2 linked regions of the Sus scrofa genome follow. The protein of the gene in region 1 interacts with the protein of each later gene in a biochemical or structural test. Links are inferred from orthologs where the notes say so. Each region holds a gene or a part of one and is shown in the gene's direction. Other genes may lie near its edges.

Evidence for each region. The genes of interacting proteins can lie anywhere in the genome.
Region 2: the proteins of UBE2K (region 1) and RLIM form a complex in vitro, tested with the Homo sapiens proteins (2 studies listed by BioGRID). The link is inferred for Sus scrofa from reciprocal best matches to the Homo sapiens genes UBE2K and RLIM.

The regions. Positions count from the first base shown.
Region 1 is NC_010450.4:30,885,444-30,891,676, forward strand, and holds the start of UBE2K (ubiquitin-conjugating enzyme E2 K), read left to right. Parts: upstream 1-2,550; coding exon 2,551-2,613; intron 2,614-6,233. UniProt on the Homo sapiens protein: Accepts ubiquitin from the E1 complex and catalyzes its covalent attachment to other proteins. In vitro, in the presence or in the absence of BRCA1-BARD1 E3 ubiquitin-protein ligase complex, catalyzes the synthesis of 'Lys-48'-linked polyubiquitin chains.
Region 2 is NC_010461.5:59,916,590-59,922,806, reverse strand, and holds the start of RLIM (E3 ubiquitin-protein ligase RLIM), read left to right. Parts: upstream 1-2,342; 5' UTR 2,343-2,694; intron 2,695-4,492; exon of another isoform or gene 4,493-4,556; intron 4,557-6,217. UniProt on the Homo sapiens protein: E3 ubiquitin-protein ligase.

The DNA.
Region 1 (6,233 bases):
TATCAGTCAGTATGAGGTTGCCTCATAAAATGTAAAAATGCACTGAAAGTGGAATTTCAGGGCCAGTGACTACATGCATTTAAAAATCATCAGGAGTTCCCGTCGTGGCGCAGTGGTTAACGAATCCGACTAGGAACCATGAGGTTGCGGGTTCGGTCCCTGCCCTTGCTCAGTGGGTTAACAAGCCAGCGTTGCCGTGAGCTGTGGTGTAGGTCGCAGACGCAGCTCGGATCCCGTGTTGCTGTGGCTCTGGCGTGGGCCGGTGGCTACAGCTCCGATTCAACCCCTAGCCTGGGAACCTCCATATGCCCCGGAGTGGCTCAAAGAAATAGCAAAAAAGACCAAAATAAATAAATAAATAAATAAAAATTATCAAACATCTCTTCCCCAAAGAAGTTAGCATACCCATCTAACCAGTCCACTTGTGATTTGAGTGTTGTAAATTTCTTTAAAGTTCCAAGATTAACATTGGGGACTGAATGAAGGTGATAAGCATAAGGTATTCAAAAATTTTTCACACTTCAAAATAATTATTTTTAATGTGCCGGCATAAATACACATAGCATTGCACGATTTATGCATTCATTATACCAGTAATTCATTGTGCCACGACCCACATGTATAGTTGGTTCCTCTTAGAACCACTAGGGGGCTCTGCTGGAAGGGTTTTACAGCTTATGTTAGTCCCTTCAGGGAAATTTTCCCAGATGTTTTAGAATAATGAACTCTTAAAACTTGAGAGAGATCATCTTATCCAGCTTCCTTATTCTGCAAAATAGGAAACCAAGGTTGGCCAAGAGAGCTGAAATGGAGGAGAGCTGGAATTAAAAATCCCTTCTTGGTTCCCGTGGCAGTAGTTCAATAAGTTCATTTTTGCCAAGTGCCTCCGTGAGTGGTTCACTCCAAGTGCTTACTTTCTTTTTCAGTGCCACAATTTCAGTAATTTTTGCTGAGACGGTGATTTCGTGATATTCTTCTAATAGGATACTTTACTGATTGGTTAAAGTATCCTATTAGAAACATAGTGAAAGAAGTGACTTTAATATAACTTCTAAATAAACATAATTACTTATTACAAAATGTTTTCTATTCAAAGCACCTCTCAGCATCAAAACCATATTACCTAGGAGTTCCTTTGTGCTGCAGTGGGTTAAGGGTCTGGCCTTGTCACTGCAGCGGCTTGGGTCACAGTTATGTCGAGGGTTCGATCTCTGGTCCAGGAACTTACAAATGCCGCAGGCTCGGCCAAAAGAAAAAAACACTCAAAACCCCCCCAAATCCACAACCATATTACTTATTGGAAACTTTAGCAACCGCTTTCAAATTTACTTTCCATTTAAAACATTTTAGTCTTATCGTTACTCATTTATTCATTCAATATTTATTAAGGGCCTTAATAGGCACCAGGCACAGTTGTAGATCCTAGGTTTAAGTAAGTAAAGCTGCCCTTCTCGCCCAAGAAACATCTACTACTCCATTTTTCACTTTAATATATAAACTATTTTCACATGTTCAGTGGTTCCCACTGTGTGGCTCCAGAAGCAGCGGCAGGAGCAGCTGCATCTGGGAACTTGTTACAAATGCAAATTATTAGGCCCACCCTATACTCTAGGAATGGGGCCCAGCAATCCGTTTTCTTTTTATTTTTTAACAAGTTATTCAGGGATCCTAATGTACATTCGAGTTCCAAAACTATGGTTTTAGTTCCAGGGCTTGGTATTAATTACCTAAGCAGGTCAAAGATCAACACCTGGCTTCTAAATTCCATGGAGTACTGGTCTCAAATAAAATTGATGAGACCCATACTTAACTTTATAATTTGTTGTACCTGTTAAGATCCTGGAATGATCGTAGTAATAGCAGCACCGTAAGAGCTTCATAACAAAAATGAACCTCAGTGCATTTGCCGGGCCTACACCAAGAAAAAATAGGCCAGACTGAATTCCAGGACAGTGTTTTCAGACACTAAACACAGGCAGGCACACTAAGCCTGTGGGTTCTGGGTCTGGCTGAGTCAGGGCGGCGCTCCAAACCGAGTGGAGCCGCGTGAACCCGTCAGGCTGGACTCGAACCTTCGGTTACAGGCCACGGTCTGGAAGCCTGGACCATACACCTGGTTCGAAGAGGGGCAGAGACGCCTGAGAGGACCGAGGAGGCCGGGGCAGCGCTGACCAGCGCGGAAGCCGCACCCTCCAGGCCTCAGACGCCGGCAGGGCGGAGCCACGCGGCCGCAGCTCGGGCAGAGACGCGCGGCGCGGGGCGGCGCGGCGCGGGTTCGCAGCTGAGGCGTATGGGGCTACAACGGGAGCGGCTGCGCCGCCCGGTCAGGTCAGCGTCGTGCGCAGGCGCGGACCTGGCGCCATTTTGGTGGCCGGGCGCGGAGGTGATTCCACACTGAGGAGAGCGCGGCGGCCGGAGTGGCAGTGGCAGCGTTCGTGTGCTCTGGTGTGAATCGCCGAGGGAGGAGGCGGTGGAGGAAGAGGTGGCGGCGGTGGCGGTGGTCGTAGCGGTGGCGGAGGAGGCGGGTACGAATCAGCTGCGGGCGGAGACATGGCCAACATCGCGGTGCAGCGAATCAAGCGGGAGTTCAAGGAGGTGCTGAAGAGCGAGGAGGTCAGAAATGAACTCCCGAACGTCCCCCACCTCAGCCCATGGCGGGAGGGTCCTTCCACTGGCGTCCCCAATATCCCTAGTAACGCCCGAGTGGCCCTCTTTGCGGCCGCCCTTCTGCCTGTGGGGAAGCAGCAGTCTCCCCCTCCTTCCGCCGCCTTCCCCTCCCCTTCCAGGGCCCTGGGATGGACGGTCTCGCGGGCGGGTGATCTGGAGAGGAATCAGATTGGGGGGGGCAGATGGAGAAGGGGGCGCTTAGACGCGGGGTGTGAGCTCTTGAAAGAGCCCCTAGATAGTGGCAACAGCTGGAAGTGTGGTTGTAGGGTGGGGAGTGAGCAGGCCGAGCCTGAGAAAACCCGGGAAGTAGGTTGGGGGAAGGGGAAAGGTGGTAACTGGATCCCGAGAGCTGCGCTGCTCAAAGGCCCTCACTTTTAAGGGTATTCTGGGTTGTAGCCGATCTGGCCGCCGCTGTCCTTTCCTTAGGGAAGGAGCGATGAGAGTTCCTAGGTATTGATGAAAGAAGGCCGTTCAGAGTTACTCCCTTTTAGTTGGGTGTTGGAAGAGAGAGCAAGACATAATGGGGTACTGTCTATATTGTTTAAGTGGGGGATAAGGGCATTGCCACTTGAGATAGGAAATTAATTCCATGTTAGAGAATTATCTCATTTCCACTTACCCCCAAATCCTAGGCCTCTTTTTTGTAGGCACCTAAAGCTTTTTGACTAGGTAAAGGCAGGTTGTTTGGTGTGTTAAAGACATTTAAATATTTATAGCTGGGATTAGGACATATAATGGAGTGTATGAGTAGCTTATTTTAAAATGTTTACAAGTTACAGATCAGAGTCTGTTTTAAGACATTGCCTCTGTGACACTGCTGTGTTGTGCCATGAAACTTCATTATGATGTCCCTCATAGTTAACTTGATTCTTACTATTGAAAAACAGTGCTATTAAAAAAAACATGAGGTTTCAGCAGATTAATACATTGTTATATCTCCTTATTAAACATGACATTTCAGCAGATTAATAAATACATTGTTATATCTCCTTATCCCAACATCTATCTGAAAGGATTAAAAAGTTTTTTTGTCTCAAGCTCCTCTTGAGTCCTGTAGAACACTCTAGTGTTGGCCACATTTATTAATATGTTTTAAATGTTTTAGTAATTTAGTAATTTGACTCAATTATGAATCAGTGTAATTTTTCATACCCAAATCAACGAGAATGCTAGGTTGTTTTTCCTTGTTGGATTCAACAAAGAAAGATTGAGCATATTGAATGGTTATTTTCAAAATATCACACACCATTATTGAAAGTATCATTACTATATGTGTTTTTCTCTTATATCAATACTTTGACGAGCTCAGTGATTTGTGAAATTTAGCATTCTAAGTATGTGATGAATTCTGGATATAAGTCTGATAGCACTTGAACTATATTTGTGCCACCGAGTCTTTCCAATTAGACTTGCAGAAAATTCTTTAAAATTACTAAAAAATGCCAAACACCAGCAGATTTATTGAATGTAATAGTTATGTGAGTAATAATTGGTTTTACCGAGCATGTGTATGAACTCTGACCTCTGTATTTGTTCAGGTGCCAAAACTCTGAATGGAAGGATGACTTTGTATTTTTGTGGTACATTGTAGAAATAGAGTCATAAATGCTTGTACTGACAATACAATGAAACAATGATTCTAAATTCTTGTTTAATAAGAAAATATATTCCAGGATAGTTGACATATATATTCCTAATAGAAGATTGCGGGTAATATTGCTAGTAGCCTAAAACATTTCTCTAATATGGTTGTACAAGCCTGAAATATAAGATTTTAACGCTTTATTTTCTGTTACTTAAAAGTGGTAAGTACTGTTCTCGTAATTCATATGATCTGATTGCATATTGTGAGGTGACTTTTCACAATATTCTTAGTACTTAAATTGAAGCTTAAAAGAAATCTTGTATTGCTTTAGTAATGCATATTGTTAAAATTACATGTAAGGGATGATGAAATCTTGCTGTCAAGTAAGTGTTTCAGAGGAAGAAAGTAGAAAATACAAACATTTTATTTTTTTAACAAGAGTGCCTTTATAAATCTGAAAGGAAACATCTTCCAGAAAGTAAGTTGCAAAGAACATTTAGAAAAGGGTCAGGTAATTTAATTTTGGAATATAACCAATAAATAGTTTTATTTTCACCAATATTTTATTTCATTGATATTTTAATAAGCCCAGTTCTATAATTGGATTATATTATTTTCAACTCATTGAAGAACTTATAATACAGTCCATGTATTTCTTTTTTAATGTATGTAAAGGCAATATTTGAATGGCTTGTCAGATAGTCAAGTATTTCCTCATGTCACCTATGTAAATCTTCATTTTACTAAAGTTTATTTCATATGGTTGTGCTTACTAGGAATGGTTTAAGGACTCCTCTCCAACCCCGCGCCTTTTTAAGTGCCTTTGTGAAAAGATAACTGACATTTGCTGAATTCTGGCTCTAAGAAGTTGTAAGTGGCCATTCTTGGAGTGTGTTGTTAAAATATAGCCTCCCAGATCAGTGTGAAAAGCACAGTGCAGAATAGTGGGAGGAGGCCACCATTTCTGGGGAGATACGTGTATTTGTTTGTATAGGTGAAAGGATTAATGAGAAATTGGTAGTGTTGATTGCTTCTGGGTGGGGGACTTGGGTGTCCCGGGCAACTGGCATCAGAAGATCCCTCTTAGGAGTTCCTCTGTGGCTCAGCAGGTTAAGGATCCAGCATTGTCACTGCAGTGGCTGGATTGCTGCTGTGGCATGGGTTCAGTCCCTGGCCCAGGAACTTCTGCATGCCACAGGTGTGGCCAAAAAAAAAAAAAAAAAAGATCCTGGAGTTCCTTTTGTGGCTCATCAGAACCGAATCTGACGAGCATCCCTGAAGATGCAGGTTCGATCCTTGGCCTCGCTCAGTGGGTTAAGGATCTGGCATTGCCATCAGCTGTGGTGTAGGATCCCAGGCTCTGATCTGGTGTTGCTGTGGCTGTGATGTAGGCCGGTAACTGTAGCTCTCATTTGACCCCTAGCCTGGGAACTTCCATATGCTTCAGGTATGGGACTAAAACGACCGAAAAAACTGGAGCCTGATTTGTATTACTGATTAAAGGATTTAAACACAACCTAACTTGTTAGTTTAAGCATTAAAATAAATGTTACGTGTAATTAAAATTTTGCTTGCATTTCAATATGCAAAATACTTTTAAGAGTTCCTGTTGTGGCACAGTGGGTTAAAGGATCTAGCATTGCTGCAGCTGTGGCATAGGTTGCAGTTGCAGCTCCAATTCAGTTCCTGGCTTGGGAACTTCCTATGCCACGGGTGCGGCCATTAAAACAAACCCCCAAATATTTTTAAATTCAAAGCTCAGTGAAATAGGCGTTCCCTTCGTGGCTCAGCGGAAGCGAATCTGACTGACTAGTATCCGTAAGGATACATCTTCAGTCCCTGGCTTCTCTCAGTGGGTTAAGGATCCAGCATTGCTGTGAGCTCTGGTATAGGTCACAGACATGGCTCAGATCTTGTGTTGCCATGGCCGTGACATAGGCCAGTGACTACAGTTCCAATTCCAGTTCGACCCCTAGCCTGG
Region 2 (6,217 bases), on another chromosome or scaffold:
TAAGGAAATGATGAGTATCTCATGTAATTTGTTGACTACTGTACTGAAAAACAGAATGGTCGTGTGGGTACAGAATTGTTACCAGTGTCTTGGTTGTTTACCCTCTTGATGTAGCCACCTGGGAACTGCAACTCCTTGCTGATGCCCAGCATCACTAGAAAGTATCATTCTGTGTAGAGCTAGCCTGTAGAAACTATTCACAATAGCCAAGACATGGAAGCAACCTAAACATCCATGGACAGATGAATGGATTAAGACATGGTACATAAATGTAATGGAATACTACTCAGCCATAAAAAGAATGAAATAATGCCATTTGCAGCAAAATTCAAAATTTGAGGTACAGTTTCTACTGAATGCATATCACTTTTGCATCATGGTAAAGTAAAAATATTGTATGTCCAACCATTGTAAACTGGGGACTTGCTGTAGTGATATTAGCCATACATGCTTATCATGTTATCATATATGTAGCATTTTCACCAATTTGTCATTTATTTTAATGTTATTATAAACCAGAACTACCCCTTAGCTGTCATATGTCATGCTGAAATTTTTTTTCAGTTTATTATTTGCCTTTTAATTTTATTAACCTTGTGTTTTGACATTCAGAAGCTTTACTTTTTTTATGAAGTTCTATTTGACAGAAATTCCTCTTATGGATTTTGTGTCATGCCTAAGAAAGTCCTTCCACGTCCCCAAAGAACTATGGACATATTCACTTACGTTTTCTTCTACTTTTTTTTTTTTTTTTTTGCTGCACACACAGCATGCACAAGTCCCTGGTCCAGGGATTGAATCCTAACCACAACAATGACAACGCTTGTTCCTCAACCTGCTGAGTCACCAGGGAACTCCATTTTCTTCTACTTCTTTTATGATTTTATATTTTACATTAAGACACATTTGCCTTAAGAATATGTCAAGGAGAGGTTAATGCTACTGCCATAATCTGAGTATCAGGTTAGGAGCAATTGCTGGCCACTGAAGAATTCATTTTACACATTCTAGGTAAAAGTTCTATTGTATGATTATAGAACATAAGACAAAAGCTGAGTAGAGACACAGCACCTAAATTATATTCCTCTACTGTTAAAAATGACAATATCAAGACTGTTGAAAAGTTGAGCAGGGAAGTATGAGGGATATTGTTGTTAACTGCTTGGAGTGAAATACACTTATATTCCTGGCTGATGAAATGGCCATCATGCTGAGGCCTGTACGGTCTCAAAAAATATTTGAGGGCTACTATGAGCTCACTGGGGATATAAACAGTGAACAAAACAAAGGGGTTTACTGTTCTTAAATGGTTGAGGTAAACAAATATTTTCAAATATTTATTTCAAAATGCTTTAAAGAAAATTTAGCAGGTAAGGGAAGTTGTAATTTCAGGTGGGGTGGTTAAGGAAGTGTCCCCTAGGGAAATGACAATTGAGAAAAGGCTCGGATGATGAGAGCAAAGATATTAAGGGAAAAATTCCAGCCTATATAAAGTTGTAGAGGTCGGAACAAGTTTAGTTTGCTGGAAGAGTAGTGAGAAAGCCAGTGTAGCTGGAGTGTTACCTGAAAACAAAGAAAACAGAAAAATGGGACAAGAAACATGGAAACACCCTAAAGACCTGGGTACGGTTGTTTTTAACTGTGAAAGCGGGAGTTGGAAGCGGGATAGTTTATTCCCTAGATTCCAATTCAGGCATTAGTATCCAAGAAAAGTCTTTCCTTAACCGCCCTTAAATTCCAACGTTATCAGATTTTCCCACCCTTTTACAATTACCGCCCCCTTTCAAGTATTTCAGAATTACCATCCGAGGCCACCTCTGACCACTCTTTTTAAAACCGCAAATTCCTGTTTGTCGTGACACTCTCCCACCACTGTCCCTCGCTTTTTCTCCTTAGCATTTATACATATGTAACATATACATATATAGTAACTATTGTCCCTTCCCCAAGTAGACCCACGAAAACTGGGATTTTGGCCTGCTTTAATTTCCGCTGTATCCCAACATCTCTAACAGTGCTTGACACAGTTTACGCTCGATAAATATATGTCGAATAAAAGTAGGACGCTGTATTAACAGGCCCGGACTAATTCTGTGAATCGACGTCAGGTTAGACTAACACCACATTTCTCACTCTCGGAAAAGGGCTTCCAGCAATCAGATGGTGACGTCCTCCAGCTTTCAAAATGGGAAAGCAAAGGTTCCCACAATTCTCAGAACGTGAATTTCTCGCCACAATTCAAAATGGCGGAGGAGGGTGTGGCTTGTCACATGGTGGGCGTCACAGCAGCTTTCCTTTTCCAGGCGGTGGCCCGCCTTGCCGCGTCGTCAGCGGTCCCTCTCCTCCTCCCACCGAGCCTTTTCGAGGAATCGCCGGGGATTGGCTAACAGGCTGGGAGTGGGGCTGCGGGGCTAGACGCGGCATCATCACTTCCTGTTGTGGGCGGGCGTTTCCTGTCGCTGCTTGGTAACAATGGGGAAGATAATGGCTGCCTGAGCAACGTCTGCGAGCAGGCGCTGGGTTAGAGGCGGGTCTCAACCAGCGACTCATCGGAGGCGGGCTTGAGAGCGGCGGCAGGGGAGGCGCCCAGGAGCCCCGGCGGCGGCGGCGGCGGGGCGGCGGGGCGGCGGCGGCGGCGGCGGCGGCGGCGGCGGCGGCCGAACCGACCGAGTCGGATCACGACACTAAAATCGAGTAAGTGAGTCCTCCGAGAAATGGATGGAGAGCGAGAAGACAGCGGAGCTGTGACTGCCGCGTTCTCTCAAAATGGTCTGAGTGGCGCATCGTGGCGGAGGGTCAGCGCCGCCTGCGGACCCCAGGCGCCGGTTGCAGTGGGGGGCTCCGTGGCGTAGTCGCCGCTGCCATTTTAGTTGGGTGTATAGTCAACCGGCTCTTTGAAGAAGGGGAAGGAGATGGGTAGTACTTCCTCTCCGTGGCCTCGCGAGCCTCAGCCTGAGCCCTTCAGAACCTTAAGAATTTGGGGGAGGCGATTTTCGAGTGTTGGCCTTAGGCGTGAAAATCTTTGATCGTCTCAGGTTTTTCTCTCTTCGGTCCTCTGGAGACTTACCTCGCCTCTTTCCCCCCCTCCCTTTTACATGGCGGGCTTGGATTTAGGAAATGGGGGCAAAAAATCAGCCTGCTCTAAGTTAGATGTGAGAGCTCTTGGGCCTTTAGATTTCTCAGGATTTGCAAAACCCCATTTTGAGCCCTTCTGTAGGGCACTATCAATTAGACGCCCCCTGGGGCCGTGATGCCATCTTCCCTGAGGATCTGAAGCAAATGTGGTTTACTCCTTTGCTCAAATAACCCTGGCGTATCCTTTGCCAGATATCACTGCAAGCATTCCCCCCAAAAGGGAGGGAAAAGCCGTTGCGTGTTTGTTGTTTTTCCCTGAGTGAGTGTGGGAATTGGGCCAAATGATTTTGAAGTTAATTTCCTTTCGATCCGCCAACAACTCAACCCCTCCCCCCCCCAAAAAAAAGAGGCCTAAGGGTCTCGGCTTCTGCGGGCGGTACCTGCCACGTACGCCATAGCTTTAGTAACTAGTATTAACCGGTTGGGCTTCTGCTTCCTGAATGCTCAGTCCCTTTTTCCCTTATGCTGATTAATTTCAAGATGGAGGAGACAGCCACGTTCCTTCCCTAGACAGTTTCACCATACTTATTCCACAGGTTAGTCCGAGAATCTGAGGCCTAGCAGGCTTCTTATTTAGGTCATTCTTTCGTTTTGGGGCAAGAGGAAGCATTTATATCACATTGTGATCCATTATTTGCAAGGCCCCATAGTAATTTTTTGCTGGATATAAGGAGCCCGCATTTCCTGAATCAGAATTAACCGCAGTGGCTTTGGATGATTGAAGGGAGGAAGAAATAAACGTACTACTACAAATCATTTCTTTGATTCTTTGTGATTAAAGAACACTCATATCACCCCATCAGGTACATTATGTCCGTCCTGGATGACTTGAGAGCAGGCAGGCACAGTTAACGCTCTCCAAAAATCAGTTTTCTAAGTTGTAAAAATAAAGTGCCCAGGAAGACTAATCTAAAATTTTTTTAAAATTTCATTTAGTATACTCTTTTACTGAAAAAAATGCTTCATTCTTTAGCCTAAGATGTCCGGATAATCTTTCATACTTTAGTTTCTACCTTAGGCTAGTGTAGTGTGCCAAATAAGTTCTTGAAAGTAACCATGAGTATCCGAAAATAATTACTGTTATGATAAGGAAAAGCCTATTTTAATCAAGTTTATATCAAATGTAGATTGGCTCTCAACCTTTAAAGGAAGTCTTATATCTAACATATCCCTCTGACCTCAGTCTCCCCAAATATCCTAATATTGATGTTGAATTAGGTTGGGTTATGGTATGTGTATGTATGTATGTGTGTGTATCTAAAAATATATAGAATATGTATTTTTTAGGATGTGTCTGTTTCAAAGAAAATGTCTATCTTATCAAAGAGGAAGAATAATGGATTCTTTTTTTTTCTAGAGCAGAGAGTGAAGAAAACTAAAATCCAGTTTATTGTATTACAATACTATGTCATAACAGTCAGGTAATTTATTTTTTGTTGCGTCTCCTGATAATTTATGTGTAGAATGCATGTTTAAAAATAATTTATTCTGTTTTGCAGGCCCTGTAATTGGATGGGCTTATTTGATACATGTTAGTTGGTGTTGGGCATTCTTCATAATCAGAATGAGTGTTTTTCACTGGGTATTCAAAGAGTAGTGTTCCTGAGTAGCTGAAACTCACTAGTGCTCTATCTGAATTTTCATCTTTTAAAATAATGTGTGAGGTTTACCAATACCTGTATAGAAGAGAAAGAACGAGATAGAAACTTACTGCCTTAAATCAGTGTTGGAATGGGATGTGTACAAATAAATAGTGTTTGAATGTTTATTGAATAATTAAATGAACCATCAGACTATATTACAAGAATATAATCTCATATTTTGTGTGGTATTCGATTTTTTTCCTTTGAGATACCCAAAGTCATAATTGATATATAGTACTTTAATTAGTATTAACTCCTTTCATCATCATTAAGGTAACTGCATAATTTATTGCCCTAACTAGGATGTTTTTAAGAGCAAAAGGGACATTATTAATAATTATGCCTGGACAACAGTTGCAAACCTGGATTTTTCCAGGCAACCTGGTATGAGTAGTTAGCCTAGACTCATAACTAATTTGTACTGACTACTTATATACTAGGTTCTGTGCTTCACATGCATGATTTGGTAATCCTTACAGTGAGGCTTCATGAGAATATTACCTATTTTACAGAGGTAACTGAGACTTAGAGATTAGGTAATTTGTCCTCAATTAAGTAGCTAATAAGTGGTAGAGCCCCCATTTTAACTCAGGTCTGTCATATGCCAAAGTCACTAAACTCTTATATCTCTAGATTTAATTGTTATCTGATGATATTGGAAATGCAAAGAAAATGAAAGGTTGTGATTTAAAAAAAACCTGTAGGTTATGTTGCATCAAAAACTTTTGTTAACACTTAAAGGAAATTTGCTTTATGAAGCAGGTGAGACCTACTTAGCAGTTACACCCTCTTTTCGTCTGGCAGGGTTCCTTTTTCAGCTATTACTGCTTTTGATATAATTTGATAAACAATTTAAAATCAAATGGCTTTAAGAAATAGCTTAACAATGGAATGATAATCTAGAAATGTTATGCTGGTTGGATATATTCTTTCAGGTTAGTGAACATATAGTGAGGCTTTAAATAATACAGTAGATCAAATGGGACATCCGCATTTATGGAATTATAATGTGTGTATTACTTTTTCCATGACTCTAGCCAATTGGGAAATAGCTTCCACAAACCATTCACCAACCTTTTGTTCCCTTGATTTACCATAGAGTGGATAACAAATCAAAGTGAAAAGTCATTAGTCAAATCCAAACCAATGAGGTGCTAGAATTTTGGACCACTACCTAGGACTGGGATGTGTTTTTCCTTTGTAAGCTCAATTCCTTAACAATTCTGTGTAACACAGACATTTCCAAAATCTTATGGCTCACTGATTTCAAAAAGTGTCTGGTTTATATTATCCTTTGATATTTTGATAACCAGTGTAAGAAAGCAATAATACTTCTGTATCTGTTTTTTCCTTTGTTATTTTTTCTCAACCTTGAATATGGAGGTTTCCCAGATAATCAAGCAATTCATTTTAGATATTAAAATTTTAGTAATTTTGAA